Drosophila melanogaster: one gene and its partners. Each later gene encodes a partner of the first gene's protein in a complex. Each region holds a gene or a part of one and is shown in the gene's direction. Other genes may lie near its edges.

Evidence for each region.
Region 2: Nprl3 (region 1) and Nup44A share a complex: the UniProt entries of both Drosophila melanogaster proteins name them as parts of the GATOR complex.
Region 3: Nprl3 (region 1) and Wdr24 share a complex: the UniProt entries of both Drosophila melanogaster proteins name them as parts of the GATOR complex.

The regions. Positions count from the first base shown.
Region 1 is NT_037436.4:13,998,850-14,003,489, reverse strand, and holds Nprl3 (nitrogen permease regulator-like 3), read left to right. Parts: upstream 1-1,609; 5' UTR 1,610-1,700; exon of another isoform or gene 1,701-1,845; 5' UTR 1,846-1,863; coding exon 1,864-1,997; intron 1,998-2,056; coding exon 2,057-3,755; 3' UTR 3,756-4,110; downstream 4,111-4,640. Other genes in the region: CG17359 (uncharacterized protein), read left to right, coding at 4,308-4,640. UniProt on the Drosophila melanogaster protein: An essential component of the GATOR subcomplex GATOR1 which functions as an inhibitor of the amino acid-sensing branch of the TORC1 signaling pathway.
Region 2 is NT_033778.4:7,986,698-7,991,832, forward strand, and holds Nup44A (nucleoporin at 44A), read left to right. Parts: upstream 1-1,764; 5' UTR 1,765-1,812; intron 1,813-1,834; exon of another isoform or gene 1,835-1,930; intron 1,931-2,818; exon of another isoform or gene 2,819-3,017; intron 3,018-3,134; 5' UTR 3,135-3,255; coding exon 3,256-3,366; intron 3,367-3,427; coding exon 3,428-3,865; intron 3,866-3,961; coding exon 3,962-4,170; intron 4,171-4,230; coding exon 4,231-4,537; 3' UTR 4,538-4,586; downstream 4,587-5,135. UniProt on the Drosophila melanogaster protein: Probable component of the nuclear pore complex (NPC). Involved in maintaining the localization of another nucleoporin Mgtor to the nuclear envelope of early meiotic female germline cells.
Region 3 is NT_033777.3:29,741,423-29,746,938, reverse strand, and holds Wdr24 (WD repeat domain 24), read left to right. Parts: upstream 1-1,846; 5' UTR 1,847-1,939; coding exon 1,940-2,057; intron 2,058-2,115; coding exon 2,116-2,755; intron 2,756-2,817; coding exon 2,818-3,150; intron 3,151-3,203; coding exon 3,204-3,288; intron 3,289-3,348; coding exon 3,349-3,504; intron 3,505-3,561; coding exon 3,562-4,020; intron 4,021-4,086; coding exon 4,087-4,272; intron 4,273-4,335; coding exon 4,336-4,692; 3' UTR 4,693-4,967; downstream 4,968-5,516. Other genes in the region: IntS11 (integrator 11), read right to left, coding at 1-146, 202-1,176, 1,256-1,469; Gnpnat (Glucosamine-phosphate N-acetyltransferase), read right to left, coding at 5,200-5,241. UniProt on the Drosophila melanogaster protein: An essential component of the GATOR subcomplex GATOR2 which functions as an activator of the amino acid-sensing branch of the mTORC1 signaling pathway.

The DNA.
Region 1 (4,640 bases):
TATATTTTTCGATTCAAAATATTTCCGATTTGGGCGCGCACTCACATACAAACACACACACTAGTTTTACTCACCGTTTACTCTGTTATTTTGAATTTTCACTTCATTTTGCACAACTTAATTTAATTTAACGACAAGCTACGTGGTTTATTTTTTATTTCGAAACTTTATATTTCAATTTTATAAATACAAATTAAATTTGTATACACTTTAACACTGGTTCTTTTTTGTTCCGTTGCACATTGTTGATTTGCAGCATTTAAGTGATGGCGCGACGTTGTTTCGAACGTTTACTACCTGCACAAATTAAAATGTTTCTACTTTGATTAATCAATTTTATTATTATTAATACCGTATGGCACAAGAAGCAGAAGACAAAACGCGCAGGAAAACACATAAACTGGGATTGCTTAAGACGTGTGTAAGAGCGAGACGACCAGTCGGTTTGAGCAGACCATATAGCTAGTGTGACCGTTCTAGCCTATGGACAAGACATGCCAACTGACTATTATCGCCTATTTTATTTTGTTCGCCTGCCCTGCTTCTTCTTCTTGGTTTTTGTGTTGCGCTGTTTCCCTGTTTAGCCTATTACTACTGCGCCTGGCCATTCCGAAATGCTGTACGTACATATTTCGATTTCGCCTTTCCGCCTATTCGTTGATACCCACACAAACGTATATCTGTGCATGCCTTTCTACGTAGGTATGTGTAAAATCTATACACACGGATGTTGGCGCACATATACACAAAAAGTAAAATAGTTATGTTATTAACTATTTAACCACAAGCTATTTACATTTTAGGCACTTATTAATCCTATTTTCCAAAATACAAGGAATAGATACAGAAACGAAGACATAGTAGAAAAACAAACCTACAAGTAAATGACAATTAGTTGAAATTAACTTATTGGCCACCATACTGCCGAAGAGTGCGAAACTAATTCAGAAGCGAACCACTCAGCCAAGTAAACTATATTTTTTTGTAGAATTAGTTATACCTCTCCTACACTCACACAAATATTATATATATGTATATATAGACCGCGGCTAGTACACGTTTAGCGTCGTCTCGCTCCCACCTACGATCCGCACGTATTTTGCCTCTCACAATGTGTGTGTTTTCCTCTTTTCCAACACGCTAATAAGAAATCGTCATTTTTAAAAGTGCTTTTACAGCCAAACTAACATGTTTCACAGGGGAATTTCATAGTTCTGCGATTGCCGCGTTCGCATACTACGCTCCCAGTTATTTTCACAAATTTTTTGTTGACGTTTCGAGCACAATTTCCACACGTTTTGCTCACAACTTTCCGCTTCTAAAAAATTAGAGACTGACCAACCGAAGACGGTCACACTACAGCGGAGCGATAGATCGTTATCGCTCGACCAGGGATCCTATACTATTAGCCTTGCCGATATATATTTATTTATATAGTAAGACCGTTTTTCGTTTAGTATTTTTTAGTTTTTGAATATATTATCTAAGGTATCTATGGTAAATTTAAACGATTTAAAAAAATTCCATTGCGTTGCATTTATATTATTGTTTCGCCTGCAAAATGAAAACTGACATGACTACTATTTTAAATAAGTTTTTGGTATTTTATGCAAACTAAAAGAGAGCCACACTGCTGTAAATATATTTTATATTTTACATTTATTTACTTTGCTTCCATTTCTCAATGAAGTCAAATTGAGGTACTAATAAATAAATAAAGAGTTGTTGAGGTAGTTTCTGTAGCAAACTACGATTTATAAAGTATTTTTGAAAACATAGCCAACTATTTGTTGACCCTGACCCCAGTTGATAATGCAAATGTTCATATTTTAATTTACATAAAAGGGGAAGTGTCTGTGTGCCATGGAAACTAATGTGAATCCCCTGGCCGTAATCCTGGTTTACTTCGATAGCAAGGGGGATCGGTTACTGTACAGGTATCCGTACCAGACTCTCGGCCAAACGGAGGTGGCCAACGACGAGCAGCGGAAGTCCAGGTACTACCTATTAATTCAAAGGGCACTCAGCTTGACTATACCGATTTATTCAATCACAGAAAGCGCAATCCCTATGCCGTGGCCAATACGGACGATCTGCTGCAGACACCCACCCACTTGGGTGCTGCCAAGAGCCAAGGACAACTGCAGGGATTCGCAGATGAGGTCCTGTCCGCTCTGTTTGCTGTTAAACCACAGCTATGCAACCAAAAGTTTGAACTCAAACTGAACGACGTACGCTTTGTCAGTCATCCCACTCTGATACCGCAAAAGGAGCAGAGAAGTGGTCCAATGGCCAAGCAACAGATGCTCATCAACATTGTTTTTGCGCTGCATGCACAGGCCAGCTACTCGATTGTTAAGTGCTACCACGAACTGAGCAAGCGCCTTGGACTGGCGCTGAAGTTCGAGGAGCAGCGCAGTGGCTATCTCACCGAGCAGACGGCTCAAATGGCTCGCACACACGACGAGCAGCAGCAACAGCCGCTGGAACGCACACTGGAGCTGATTGCAGAGCGCTGCAGCTTGGCACAGGCCTTGCGCTCCATCTTCCATGATCTATGCACCACTGGACTGCTGAGTACCTCGCTGAATCACAACCTAACGTTGTGCTTCTGTCTGCCCGCTAAGGCACACCAGCTCCATAAGAAGGGCAGCATGGTGGATCCAGAGACCATAGATCGGTGCCTTCGTGCACTGAAGCCCTATCATGGCATGTTGCTGCTGGTCGACTTTGCCGAATTGTTGGACTGCGTTCCACCGACTGGGGCACGCATGCTATGGCAGCTAGTCGACGTCTACGACCCACTGATCAGTCTGCAGAGCATGTCCTCCAATGCAGACTTGAGTATCGAGCATGTTTATAAGCTCGTCTCGCATTTGGTCTACTGGGCTAAGGCAACTATTATTTATCCACTCTGCGAGACAAATGTCTATGTGATCGCGCCGGATGCACCATTGCACACCAAGTCCCACCTGGTGGAGAAGTTCTCGGCCCGTTTTGCCGGTATGTCGCTGTTCGAGGTGATCTCCGATTTTTCATTGCCCACTTCAATTGGACACTTAACCACGCCACTGCAGCAGCCAGCGCGACAGGGTATCCTCGCACAAATGGTGATTTGGATGCTGCAGCACCATTTGCTCATGCAGTTGCACACGTACGTTCAGTTTATGCCCAGCGAGGATGAATTCGGAGATTCGGCCTCCTGCAGCAACCATCTAAGGGATGCCATTAGCGATGAAGAAGGAGACCAAGAACCAGATGCGGACGAGTTGCATGGCTCCATGCTTAGCATGTCCAGTCATCCGTTGCCAGTGCCAGCGGTATTGGTGGGCGGACATCGTCGTGAGGCGTCCGAGGACCATTCATCACTGGCCTCGGACAACATCGCCGTGCAGCCATCATCCAGCCACAAGTCCAATTTCAGCATCACCGCCTCGATGAGCACGGACAATTGCGACAGCCTCGATTCCATGGAGGATGAGCAGAAGCTGAAGGAGCTGCTACAGGTTTTCAGCGATGCGGATCGAGCCGCCATCCGTCGAATTCCCGCCTCTGCCAACGTGGATGATCTATCTCTGCTTGTGAAGCTGTATCAGATGGGTTACTTTAAGAGCGAGCATCATCTGGAGGAGATCATGTACTTCGAGAACCTGCGACGTTCGCAACTGCTGCAATTGCTTGATAAATTCAGGGATGTGCTTATCATTTACGAAACCGAAGATCCTGCAATTGCATCCATGTACAATACCAAGTAGAGTTTGGGACGAATTTGCATTCCTAGATTTTAATGTTGAATGTTTTTGTTTAGTTTTTGAATATAATCTATAAAATAGGTATGCATCTAATTTTGTAAAGTTTGCGAAGCAAATCAATTTACGCTTGTAGACTACATATTTTGTTATTTATTTGTACAAGCAAGTTCTTAAGTTCAATTCAATTATTGTCAAACTATGTTTTTCCGTGATTTCATACAAATTCAAAAAATTACTCATATTCAAAACAGCGTTACATTTTAAGCTTCGCGCCCATTGTACAGCTTTAAGGTATATCGATAAGTGGGGAATATTCTGATGCTCTAAGAGCCAGATTAAAATAAAATATTTAAAAAATACGAAAAACCCATTTTTAACTTAAAAAAACAACTTTAAATCATAAATCAAAGCTGATAAATTAATAAGATGCGAAGCACAGCTGATTATTCGGTATTTTTTTGTTGGTATATTCCAGTGATTGGTATTTTAATAGTTGCATTTTGTTGATATTGTATATTTTTGATCCTGCCTACGAAACTCTGGAGCTCGGCCACGATGGACATTTCGCAAATGTGCCGCGTTTGCAGGGACGAATCCGACTGCCTGTTGGATATATATACAGAGCCATATGCCTCCTCCAATCGGGTCCAGGAGCAGGAGCCGGTCTTGGCCACAATGCTGAGGGAATGCAGCGGATGCAGCGTGCATAAGGAGGACGGAATGCCGCAGTTCATCTGCGTGGAGTGTGCGGAGGCCGTAAGAAATGCCTATCGGCTAAGACGGCAATGCCGAAAGAGCCATCAGTACTTTGAACAGCTGCGTCTGATGATGAAGGAGCTGGACGATATAGAGTATTGCCTGAATATAGGGGATAACATAGAACCACAG
Region 2 (5,135 bases), on another chromosome or scaffold:
GAATCGATCTCTGGCAACCAGCGGGGTGTTATGTAACCGCTTACTCGGAAATCGCGCAGAGAACTGGGACTTGGGTTACACTCTGCGCTGGAAACGACTCAACAGGTGTGGCCCGGTCCCGTACTCAAGTAGCTCCGTTAGTGCGCACCCTCGCAATGGATGGAGTCTTTTAATTGTGCTTTATTTACCACCGATCCTGTGATAAGAACTCTGCTGGCATTACTCAACAGTCGAAAACAAAAGAATCTTACTCGACGTGCGATTATCTCTAGGGCAGCACTTTTCGGGACCTTGGCTGGATATGATACGGTTGTGTTTTGGGTTTAGTTCGTCTTAGGATTTAGATCTACGGTTTCAGCTCGCTTTACCACTCTGCGTGTGCCCTTGTTTAGCTTGTGATGGCAGTTTCGAAGACGAGGTCGGACCGGATCGGATCGGATTGTAGTAGACCGTGTAGGATCGGTTTGAACTTCCTAGACTGACTGGTTCCGCACGATTTCTAGATGGCTACTGCAGTGACCGACGATTGGAACTCAACTGGGCCATGCTCGTCCGAAAAGCACTATCGATGCCTGAACGCCGCTTCTCCGAACGCGCAGCGGACGCCGACTTCGGCGTCGCCACTATCAATATCAACTATAGCTATAGCTTTGACTACGTCTACGGCCAGGTTTTCGTGCGCGGACCTGTGTTTGTGCGTGTTCAGGTTGTTGCGCTCGTATGTTAATCGCCAGCGGGTCTCGCGGGTCGCCAAGCCAATTGTTGTTGTTGTTGTTGTGTTATTGTTTTGCTTATTGCTGGCTCAGCCAGCGCCAAGTGACCAGGAGGAATATATGTGCACTATGTACTACATAAGAACTACATATGTACAAGGAGCGCCACTAATTCGAACAGAAAGGCGGTCGAATTAAGCGGGGCAACCTGCCGGATTAATAACAATTTTTATGAAGGTGGCTCAAGTAATGACGACCAGTGTGCTCCGTCGGTTTCAGTGATCTTTTTGTGAACCAATTATGCCATAACAATGTCCGAATAAATAAATGCTGGGTACAGTGGCACCAGAGAAATATTTAACAAAATCATTTCTTTATTGTCGTCAGTGATGAATAAGGTTTCTGTATATACCGATTCAACAAGTTCTGGAATAACTACAATGACATTTTGTTTTATATTGGATTTTTTGCGTAGTTTCCAAACTAAAAACTCATAAAAACTAACCATAAAAGCATGCCCTTCCAGCGGCAATCGCAATCAGCTTAACATCAGTGAGTTCCACTATAGGAAAGTTCCACTGTTGCACAGCAATTATACCTTAACGGTCTGCGGCTGATAAAAGATAAGAGCGACATGATGATGGCGATCAGCTGTTGCCAACAACCGTCTACCCCTCTCTGTCACTAGCAGTGCGTCCCGCTCTTTTCTCTTCCATGTATCTCTGTCTCATGGGCGGCGGTAGCTTTTCAATGTCAAGGTCGCCGATGGCATTCGGTACTGCTGTTGTTGTTGTTGCTGCTCCAGCTGGACTTAATCTGGGAGTTGACCCAACCGCTGACGGAAATGCACTCTGCTGCTGGGAGCAGCAAGCAGCAACAACAACGACCATAATTTCTCAATTTGCTGGCGTAAGTGGCAAGCGATGCTGATTAGGGTTAAATGGGCGAAAACGCCAGAAATTGATTAGCGCGATGCACTTGAATCGAATTATTATTAACGAATTCAGTGCGCTGCCACGAGCAGAACACGCGAACGCCGCTGATTTGTTTTCATTCCGTGATGCTCGCTGCTCCCGGCATCAGCAGAGGTTTTTTAAAAGTCATAAAAGAAATTCCCGACGCGACGCCCGCTTTAATCTCAGATAGGCGGCGAGTGCCTGAAAAATCTTCCGATTTCGGCATTGGCCTTGGCGACCGATTATGATTAATACTTAACGGTGACGGGTCTTCATGGTTTCGGCTCGGGCTCAATTCCAAATCTTTCCCGGCATCTTATCGCACGGAAATTTTTGTATTTCGGTGTTCGATTCTGTTCGAATTATTCATGTTTGGCGCGTGGCCAGAAAAAAACCGTCTACTGATATCACAGCCAAATAATAATAGAACCGAAAGTCGGTCGCGTGTGAAACGCCTGATTTCGATGTGCTTATCTCTAGGATTTCTACAGAGCAACAAACAACCGATTTGTGCGTGATAACACACTTGAAATCTTGTAGACACTGTAAAGTGCACGGTTTACAGTTAAATTGTTTTTTAATTTCTTAGCAAAATACTACGAATTTGTAGTGACTGCGTTGGATTGAATTTCCGATTCGAGTCCTTGTGATATGCTCATATTTCATAAATATACTTATATCGTATTTATGCAATACAATACCAACAAGAAATGCAGTCTCCAATTTAGTTCTTATTAGGTAATTGATGCCGGCCGACATACACACACGTTGGCAGCTATGCTGCTCTCTCGCCCATACACACACACACACATACGTCACGGGCATCGCGCGATGTGTAAAATCCAATAGGAATCAAGGTCAGCAGCGAGTGCGCGAGCGAGAGAGGGCGAGCAAGGCAAGACATATTGAGCATATTGCAGATGGAAGCAATTGGAATTTATGCTGCCCATTGCACTTTGATTGAAATCCGCACTTTAGCCAGCGAATTCAAATGCTAAACAAACGCGGGTCCCGATCTACATACGACTATGCTGTGGGGTTGTTCACCCCACTCATTTGCATACACATATGCGCATACATTTCGCTCGGATCGTATCGTATAGGATCGGGCCGTAATTACCCGTTTAGTGCTTAGATTACCGCACTTACTCTTCTCCATCGCACTGCGCTTCGCACGTTTCTTTCGGTTGGCAATTTTGTTGTGTGTAACTGTTCTTTTCCGGGTGCAAAACGGCCTCTTGGCGGCTATTGGAGTCCTGACTCTCCGACTAGTGTGGTTCTCGCGAATCCCGGATGGGCGTGTGGCACGGCTGATACGTTATCAGCTTGTGATCGACTAGAGTACTGTGTTTTGTTATTTTTCGCTCGATTTTTTATTCGTATTTCACGCGTAATTCGGACCACTAACTCGGTGTGACCGTTCGCCTGGGCGTACTGAAAAAATACTGAGCAAGGTAAACAACAGCTGTTCGGCGGCTGTTTGCAAGCCAACCCTGTCTCTCCTTGTAGGGCTGCATTACCGGCGCAGATTTTTCGGCGCGTGCATTTTATAAACAACATTTCGGTAAATAAGTTGAGTTTTTATCATGTTCGACGTGGAACCCATTATTGCCGACCACAAGGATGTGATACACGACGTGGTCTTCGACTACTACGGCCGCAGGATGGCAACCTGTTCCAGCGATCAGACCGTCAAGGTGAGGACTCGAATTATTCCTACGATAAACAGCCTAGGTGATCCGGATTTTCTGCTTGCAGATTTGGGACGAGGATGGGCAGGGCAAGTGGAATGTCACGAGCAGCTGGAAAGCGCACTCCGGCTCCATTTGGCGCGTTTCCTGGGCGCACCCGGAATTTGGCCAGGTTGTGGCCACATGCTCATTTGATCGCACCGCCTCCGTTTGGGAGGAGGTGATTGGCGAAAAGGTATCCTCCACCAATACCCCCACTCGCCGCTGGGTGCGCCGCACCACCCTTGTAGACTCGCGGACCAGTGTCACGGATGTGGAGTTTGCACCCAAGTACCTGGGACTCCTGCTGGCCACCGCCTCCGCCGACGGCATTATTCGCATCTATGAGGCCCCGGACATTATGAACCTCTCGCAGTGGCCCGTGCAGCACGAGATTAGCAACAAATTGCCGCTGAGCTGTTTGTCCTGGAACACTTCCACTTACATGGTCACCCAGCTGCTGGCGGTGAGTATATTTAAATTCCAAGTCTTAGTCTATTAAGGATTAATTCTATTATCTGTGGAGTAAGAATAAGCCTAATTTTCATAAATTATTTTGCAGGCGGGCAGCGACGAGGCAGCCACGCCTACTGGCAAGGTCTTCTTATTCGCCTACAGCGAGAATTCCCGAAAGTGCGTTAAAATCGATACTGTCAATGATATAACCGATCCGGTCACGGATGTGGCCTTTGCTCCAAATGCCGGACGCACCTTTCACATGCTGGCAGTGGCCAGCAAGGATCTTTATATTGTGAACTTGCGGGGTGTAACGTAAGATCGACAATTTAAAGACCCAAAATCATTTAATAATAATAATTTTTATAATTAAAGGGACGCCACGGACATCTCCAAGTTGGACATCCAGACCATTAAGTTTAGCGAGCACAATTGCCCAGTGTGGCGCGTCTGTTGGAATATGCTGGCCACGATGCTGATCTCCACGGGCGACGACGGTTGTGTGCGTCTGTGGCGAATGAACTACAACCGGCAGTGGCGCTGTGCCGCCGTCTTGAAGGCAGAGGGCAGCGGACCCACCTACGAGCCTGCTCCGCCCACTCCGACACTGGCCACTACCGCCTCGGCCACGGCCAAGTTCTACAAAAAGGGCACCATCGGCAACCAGGTGCCGTGGCACTGATCTTGTTCTTAATTGTAAGAGTTCCGAATAAATTCCTAAGTTAAACCTCAGCCGCTTGCCTTTCAATATGAGTGGTTTTCTTTAGTTATGTTTAGAGTTCACGGTATTAATGTTAATGTTATTAATGAAGTGAACTATCAATGGGTTTACGCATTATTCAATCGTTTTAAAGATTCCGTGGAACGATAATTTTCTAGAAAAATATTTTTGATTAAACTTTATCTTGGTGCCACCATGAACCAAACTTATATCACTGTGCGGAATAGTCCACGTAGTGTTCGTCGCGCACCAGAAGACACAACGAATCTTAGTAGTCCCGAATCATGAATCAATAAATCTACTCGGTTATTGTCGGATTGTACGTTTTGCTATAAAGTTGGAATCGCATCATTTGCGTAATTCGTGGATACTTCCCATACGAAATGGGTCTAAACGAATATTCGGAAGGCCTGTGTGTTTTGATACCACCACTTACATCTCGGATTAGAAGCCGGCATTCTTGCGAATCCAATGAATAGCTTTCTGGTCCACATTTCCCCAGTTCAGTGTTCCTCAGATCGCTTTTCCTAGGGCATTTTCGCGTTACATCACAAAACGT
Region 3 (5,516 bases), on another chromosome or scaffold:
CACACAGGTTTCGCCGTTGGCCGGCATGTAGGTTTCCAGGTTGAATTCGTCTTTGATCTTCGAGCGCAGGAACTTCATCTTCCCTGCTTCACCATGGACGAGCATGACGTTCTTTGGCTCACAGTTCTGAATTAGCTGCATAATGCCTGCAATACAGAAAATTAATTAGTATCAGCATAAAAGTGCTAAGCTTGTAGCCACCTTTGGCATCTGCATGGGCCGAGAAGCTCATGTACTCCACGGCCATTTTGACCTCGACCACCTGGCGGTTCTCGAACTCCACCTTCTTGGCGCCACCGAGAATCTTGTTGCCCACGGTTCCCTGCACACAGTAGCCGGGCATAATCACCATGTTGTTCTCATTCGGCGCCCACTTCTTGAAGATCTGCAGGGAAAGACCTGCGTGCAGCATGCCTGGCGTGGCGAACACTACCATCGCGCCAGGATTGTCGATGTAGGCCTTGTCAAAGGGCTTGATGTGCTTGAAGTCGAACATGTTGCGGTGAACGAAGGTCTTGCGGATCTTCTGGTTCGTCCAGGTGATGAACATTTTGTAGTAGGTATTGGCCTTCTCGGTAAGACCCAGAGCAAAGTATATGGGGTACTTGAGGTTCATGCGCTCCCAGTACGTCTCCAGCAGGATGCACAGCTCCTGGGCGCGACCCAGGGCAAAAACAGGGATTAAAACCTTGCCGCCCTTAGCCACGCACTCGTGAACTTTCTTGAGGAAGTCCCTCTCGCGACACCGCTTCGAGTCCCTAATGGTAGTGGCGTAGGTGCTCTCGGAGATCAGCAAGTCCGGCCGGCACTTGTCTATCCAGGCGGCTCCCAGATGCCTGTCTGGAGTCATGTTGTAGTCCCCCGTGTAGACAACGCTCTGGGAGCCCACCTTGATCCAGAACATGGCGGCGCCCAGGACATGGCCTGCATAGTAGGCTTTGATCTCAAGGTCCGTGTCCACCATCATACTCTGGTGAAGTGTGACGGGAATCACCTTCTTCATGCAGTCCTTGATCATCTGGGTGGTAAAGAAGTTCGACTCGCCTTTCCGCTCTACGGCCACCTTCCGCATGTCCTCCAGGAGGATGGGTGCTATGGCCTTGGTCGGATGCGTCATGTAGATGGGCCCCGTGTAGCCCACAATCTCTGACATGTAGGGCAAGGCCCCGCAGTGATCTGGAATGCATGCAATCGATAAAGAAACGATTAGAGCCAGTTGACCAGATAAGAGCGCCTTTGGGAGGCCGAGACTCACCCAGGTGGAAGTGCGAGATGATCACACAGTCAATGTGGCTGGTGATCGGACCCTCCGGCACTATGTAGGAGAAGTCCGGGAAGCGGCGCTCGTCGTTGTAGCCCATATGCATCCCGCAGTCGAGCATTATGTTCTTCCCGCCCATCGAGAGCAGCAGACAGCTGCGGCCCACATCCTGGCCGGCGCCCAAGGGCGTTATCTTGATGTCCGGCATTTCTGGAAGGGATCAGGATCACCCGGCTCCACTCTCCTGCTTTCTTGCGGCCACTTGTTGCGCTGGTAAATGAAATTGTCGAAAAAGTCGACCGTGATTTTTGTAAACAGCAAGGCCGCACGAATGGCGTTGCCACTCCGTCGGTGTGGATGGTCCGGCAACGACGCGCTCCAACTGGCAGATCTTATTGGAGTGTTCCAAGAAGTTTCAAAGAATTTAATAGCTTAATTGAAATTAATGTTTCTGTCTGTATATGTATAGAATACATTAATTATATGTGAATAATACAACTTTAGTACAATAAGTCTTTTGTTCAAACAATATTCAACATCTGCATTTGGGAACACTCGCGCCAATGGTTTGCCGCTCGAGAAACGGTCATACTGAACCGAAAGGAAAATAAAAGATAGCGTCTTGTCTTATCAAATCACTGTTTTGCTTTCTGCGGGCGAACTTGCAACTGCTGCAGGATGCCCGATTCCGTGGAGGACACCTCCACAATCTCGCTGCGGATATGCCTGGAAGGACACGCGAACGCCCTGGCCCTGAATAAGGACAACAACCAGATTGCTTTGGCCGGAAGAAGCTGTAAGATTAGAATTGCCCAAGGTCTTTCTATAAATACACATAATTTGCTTCCGAACAGTGCTTAAGGTGTACTCCATAAACAGCAATGGCTTCACGGAATCGTGTAATATGCGCGGAAAGAACCAGAATCTTAGCTACTCCGCCAACGATGTGGCCTGGTCCACCTTGGATAGCAATCTTTTGGCTACGGCGGCCACGAACGGAGTGGTTTCCGTGTGGGATCTCTCCAAGTTCGGCAGGCAGAAGCAGCTGCTTGTCTACAACGAACATGAGCGCACCGCTCATACCGTGACCTTTCACAGCAGCGAGCCCAACATCCTGATCTCCGGTTCTCAGGATGGCACCATCAAGTGTTTCGACATCCGATCGGATAAGTCAATCAACACCTACTTCTGCAACTCGGAATCAGTGCGGGATGTCAAGTTCAGTCCACACACACAAAACATATTCTCCGCCGTCTCCGAGAATGGAACTGTCCAGTTGTGGGACATGCGGAAGTGGGACAAGTGCATGGTGCAGTTTACGGCGCACTACGGGCCAGTCTACACATGCGACTGGCATCCCACAAGGAATTGGCTGGCCACCGGAAGTCGGGACAAGCAGATCAAGGTGTGGAACATGGATGGCAGGCCGGGATTGGAGCACACCATTCACACAATCGCCGTAGTGGGACGGGTTAAGTGGCGACCAGAAAGAACGTAGGTTTTTCTAGCCAGGTTTAACAGTCTTATTTATATTAAATCTGTTTAATCCTTTCCAGTTATCACATCGCTAGTTGTGCCCTTGTGGTGGACTACAGCGTTCATGTGTGGGACATCCGCAGACCCTACATCCCCTTTGCCTCCTTCAACGAGCACACCAATGTGACTACTGGAATTGCGTGGCAGGGCAGCGACTCGCACTGTCTTCTGTCCATCAGCAAGGACTCCACCATTTACAAACATGCTTTTAAGGATGCCACGAGGCCAGCGCTGAAGGCAAATGCCCAGGGAGCTAGCCTGGGCAGATTTGGGGACATCTCCTTTGCCAACAAGATCAAGGAGTATGAACCCAAGACCAGCGGTGCATCCAATACCAAGTCTTCTAGCTTCATGTATGTCGTATTTGTTGTATCAACTTGTATGTTTATATGTATGTGTATTTTAGAAGTCGCCGTAAGACGAATGTGGCTGGCAGCATTCAGTTCCATTTGGACCATTCCAAAATGTACAAATTCATGGTAAACGACACGGTTAGTATGACACTATTAGGGATTTCTTTGCCAAATCTGATACTAATTGATATATTTCAGTTTTCCGGCTATCCCCTAAGCGAATCTGTTTCAAGACCCACCCAAGAACACGAAAGTTTTATTGGCTGTGCCAGGGAACTTGTTATCAGTGGGAAAAAACTATCGGAGTTATGCGAGCACAATGCAGAGGTTTCCAAGAAATACGGCAAACATAATGTAAGCGCTTGAGATTATTCCCAAAATTTGCCAAAACTTAGCATCTACATTTTTCAGGCCACCACATTGTGGAACTTTATCAAATTGTTCTACGGCAGCAATCACTTTGAGCCTCCCTTCGAGCACCGCTCCTCCTTCTCGAATCAAAAGAATCCAATGAACTCACGACGTGCCACGCAAGTAGCCAGCGATTGGCCACAGCAGCGAACTGAACTAGGCCAGGATCTCAATGGAAACACGCCGGAAACAGCCCACGAAATTGATGTGGCGAATGTGGACGATGATACGCTCGGCAGCAGTGGTGTGGAGCATCCGCCTACGAGCTCAGTGATTCTGTCCGAAACGCAAATCATCAGCGAGATTACCTTTGACAACTTTGAGCTCTTGCGCAATGGGTTTATCTACGTGGGTCCCACAGAATGCCCGAAAGCTTTGGCCTTCCCCGCCCTTCATCACGATGTGCAGGCTGCACGACCACAACTGGATCTCAAGGCGTCCGATCACGAAAAGTCACCTGTTAGTTGAGATTATTGAGAACTCGATGTATTTACAGCTTAACTAACTTATTCATCCTCTTTTTAGCCACCGCATGTTCCCACTGTCCTAAAAGTCAGCCATGTCCCGCCCATACCCATGTGGGAACCGCATAAGTTCGTCTCCGATGCCCTCATGCTAATGAACGATGTGGGCGATGTGCAAACAGCTCTGACAGTCCTTATAGCGCTGGGAGAAGCTCGGAAGCTCCTGCCCATTGACGATGCATTGGTGGTGAGTTCAAAGACAAAGTTGGGATCAGAACGGAGTTATTCATCCGGTTTTCTTCCTTTTCAGGAGCACTGGTTTTACACCTACGTGGACCAGCTGCATCGCTATGAGCTGTGGAACGAGGCCTGCGAGGTTATCAACCGCTCCTGGCTGAGATCGGTGCAGCAGCTCAACCAGCACTCGACCGCCATGCACACGAACTGTGGAGAGTGTGGACGTCCAATGGGCGGCAAGGTGGGATGGTACTGCGACAAGTGCAAGTCCATGCAGTCCGCCAAGTGCTGCGTCTGCGGTCTGATCGTCCGGGGAGTCTACGCCTGGTGCCAAGGATGCTCCCACGGCGGTCACATAGAGCACCTGCAGAAGTACTTTGCCAAACACTCCAAGTGCCCCAAGTGCGGACACCTTTGCGCGTACTCATGAGACGCGGAGGAGGCTGGGTTTGCCCAGCTTTTGCCCCCCATTTGAGAGCCTTGTAAATAGAGAAGACTTAAGCCCAATAAGTACCTTGCACTAGACACTAAACAGATTTTTATATAAATGTAGCTCGAAGATGTAAACTTGTAAAATAAGCTCAACGTTTGTGAAGTAAATTAACAGACAGGTTTAATCGATCTTCTGCAACTTTAAATAGCACAAATGTTTGTTACTTAACTTTTTTTGAAATATTGGAAAATAAAACTGTTGTCTGTTGATGCAAGTAAGTTTATAAACATTCTGGGCTTTTGAAAAAAGTGTCCACTTTATTGAATTTCTTCAATCATTAAAGGTTTTTGAAAGATTCGTATTGGGTTTTAATCGCTATTGTTGATTAGTGTTAATAACAGTTTAACAGTTATGCGAGTGTTTCAATCTTAGGGCTACTTGATGAAGGTGCTCTTAAAAGGTAATATTACAACCACCTTGGAGTTGAGAGGTCGAGCCGCACATTCAGTAGCAGAAAGGGGAGAAAAAATTATAAAATTGAGAGTTCTGTAGGGATTAAAAACAGAGAGCAACATATGTTGCGGTTGTCTTTAACTAAATATCTAATTGTATGTCCTCGCGGGTGGGTGGACAAGCACGTCCGTCCACAAGGACACCACCGCCAGCCAGCGCTGTCCAAAAATCCATCATGCCCTCAGCGCAATGGAATTTTGGCAATGCCTATATGCATTTAATGTTTTCTTAGAATCCAATTTTAGTTTTGTTGCATTGCGCTTCGCGCATTTGTAACTTTGAGATGGGGTGCTCCCACTCAAAGCTTG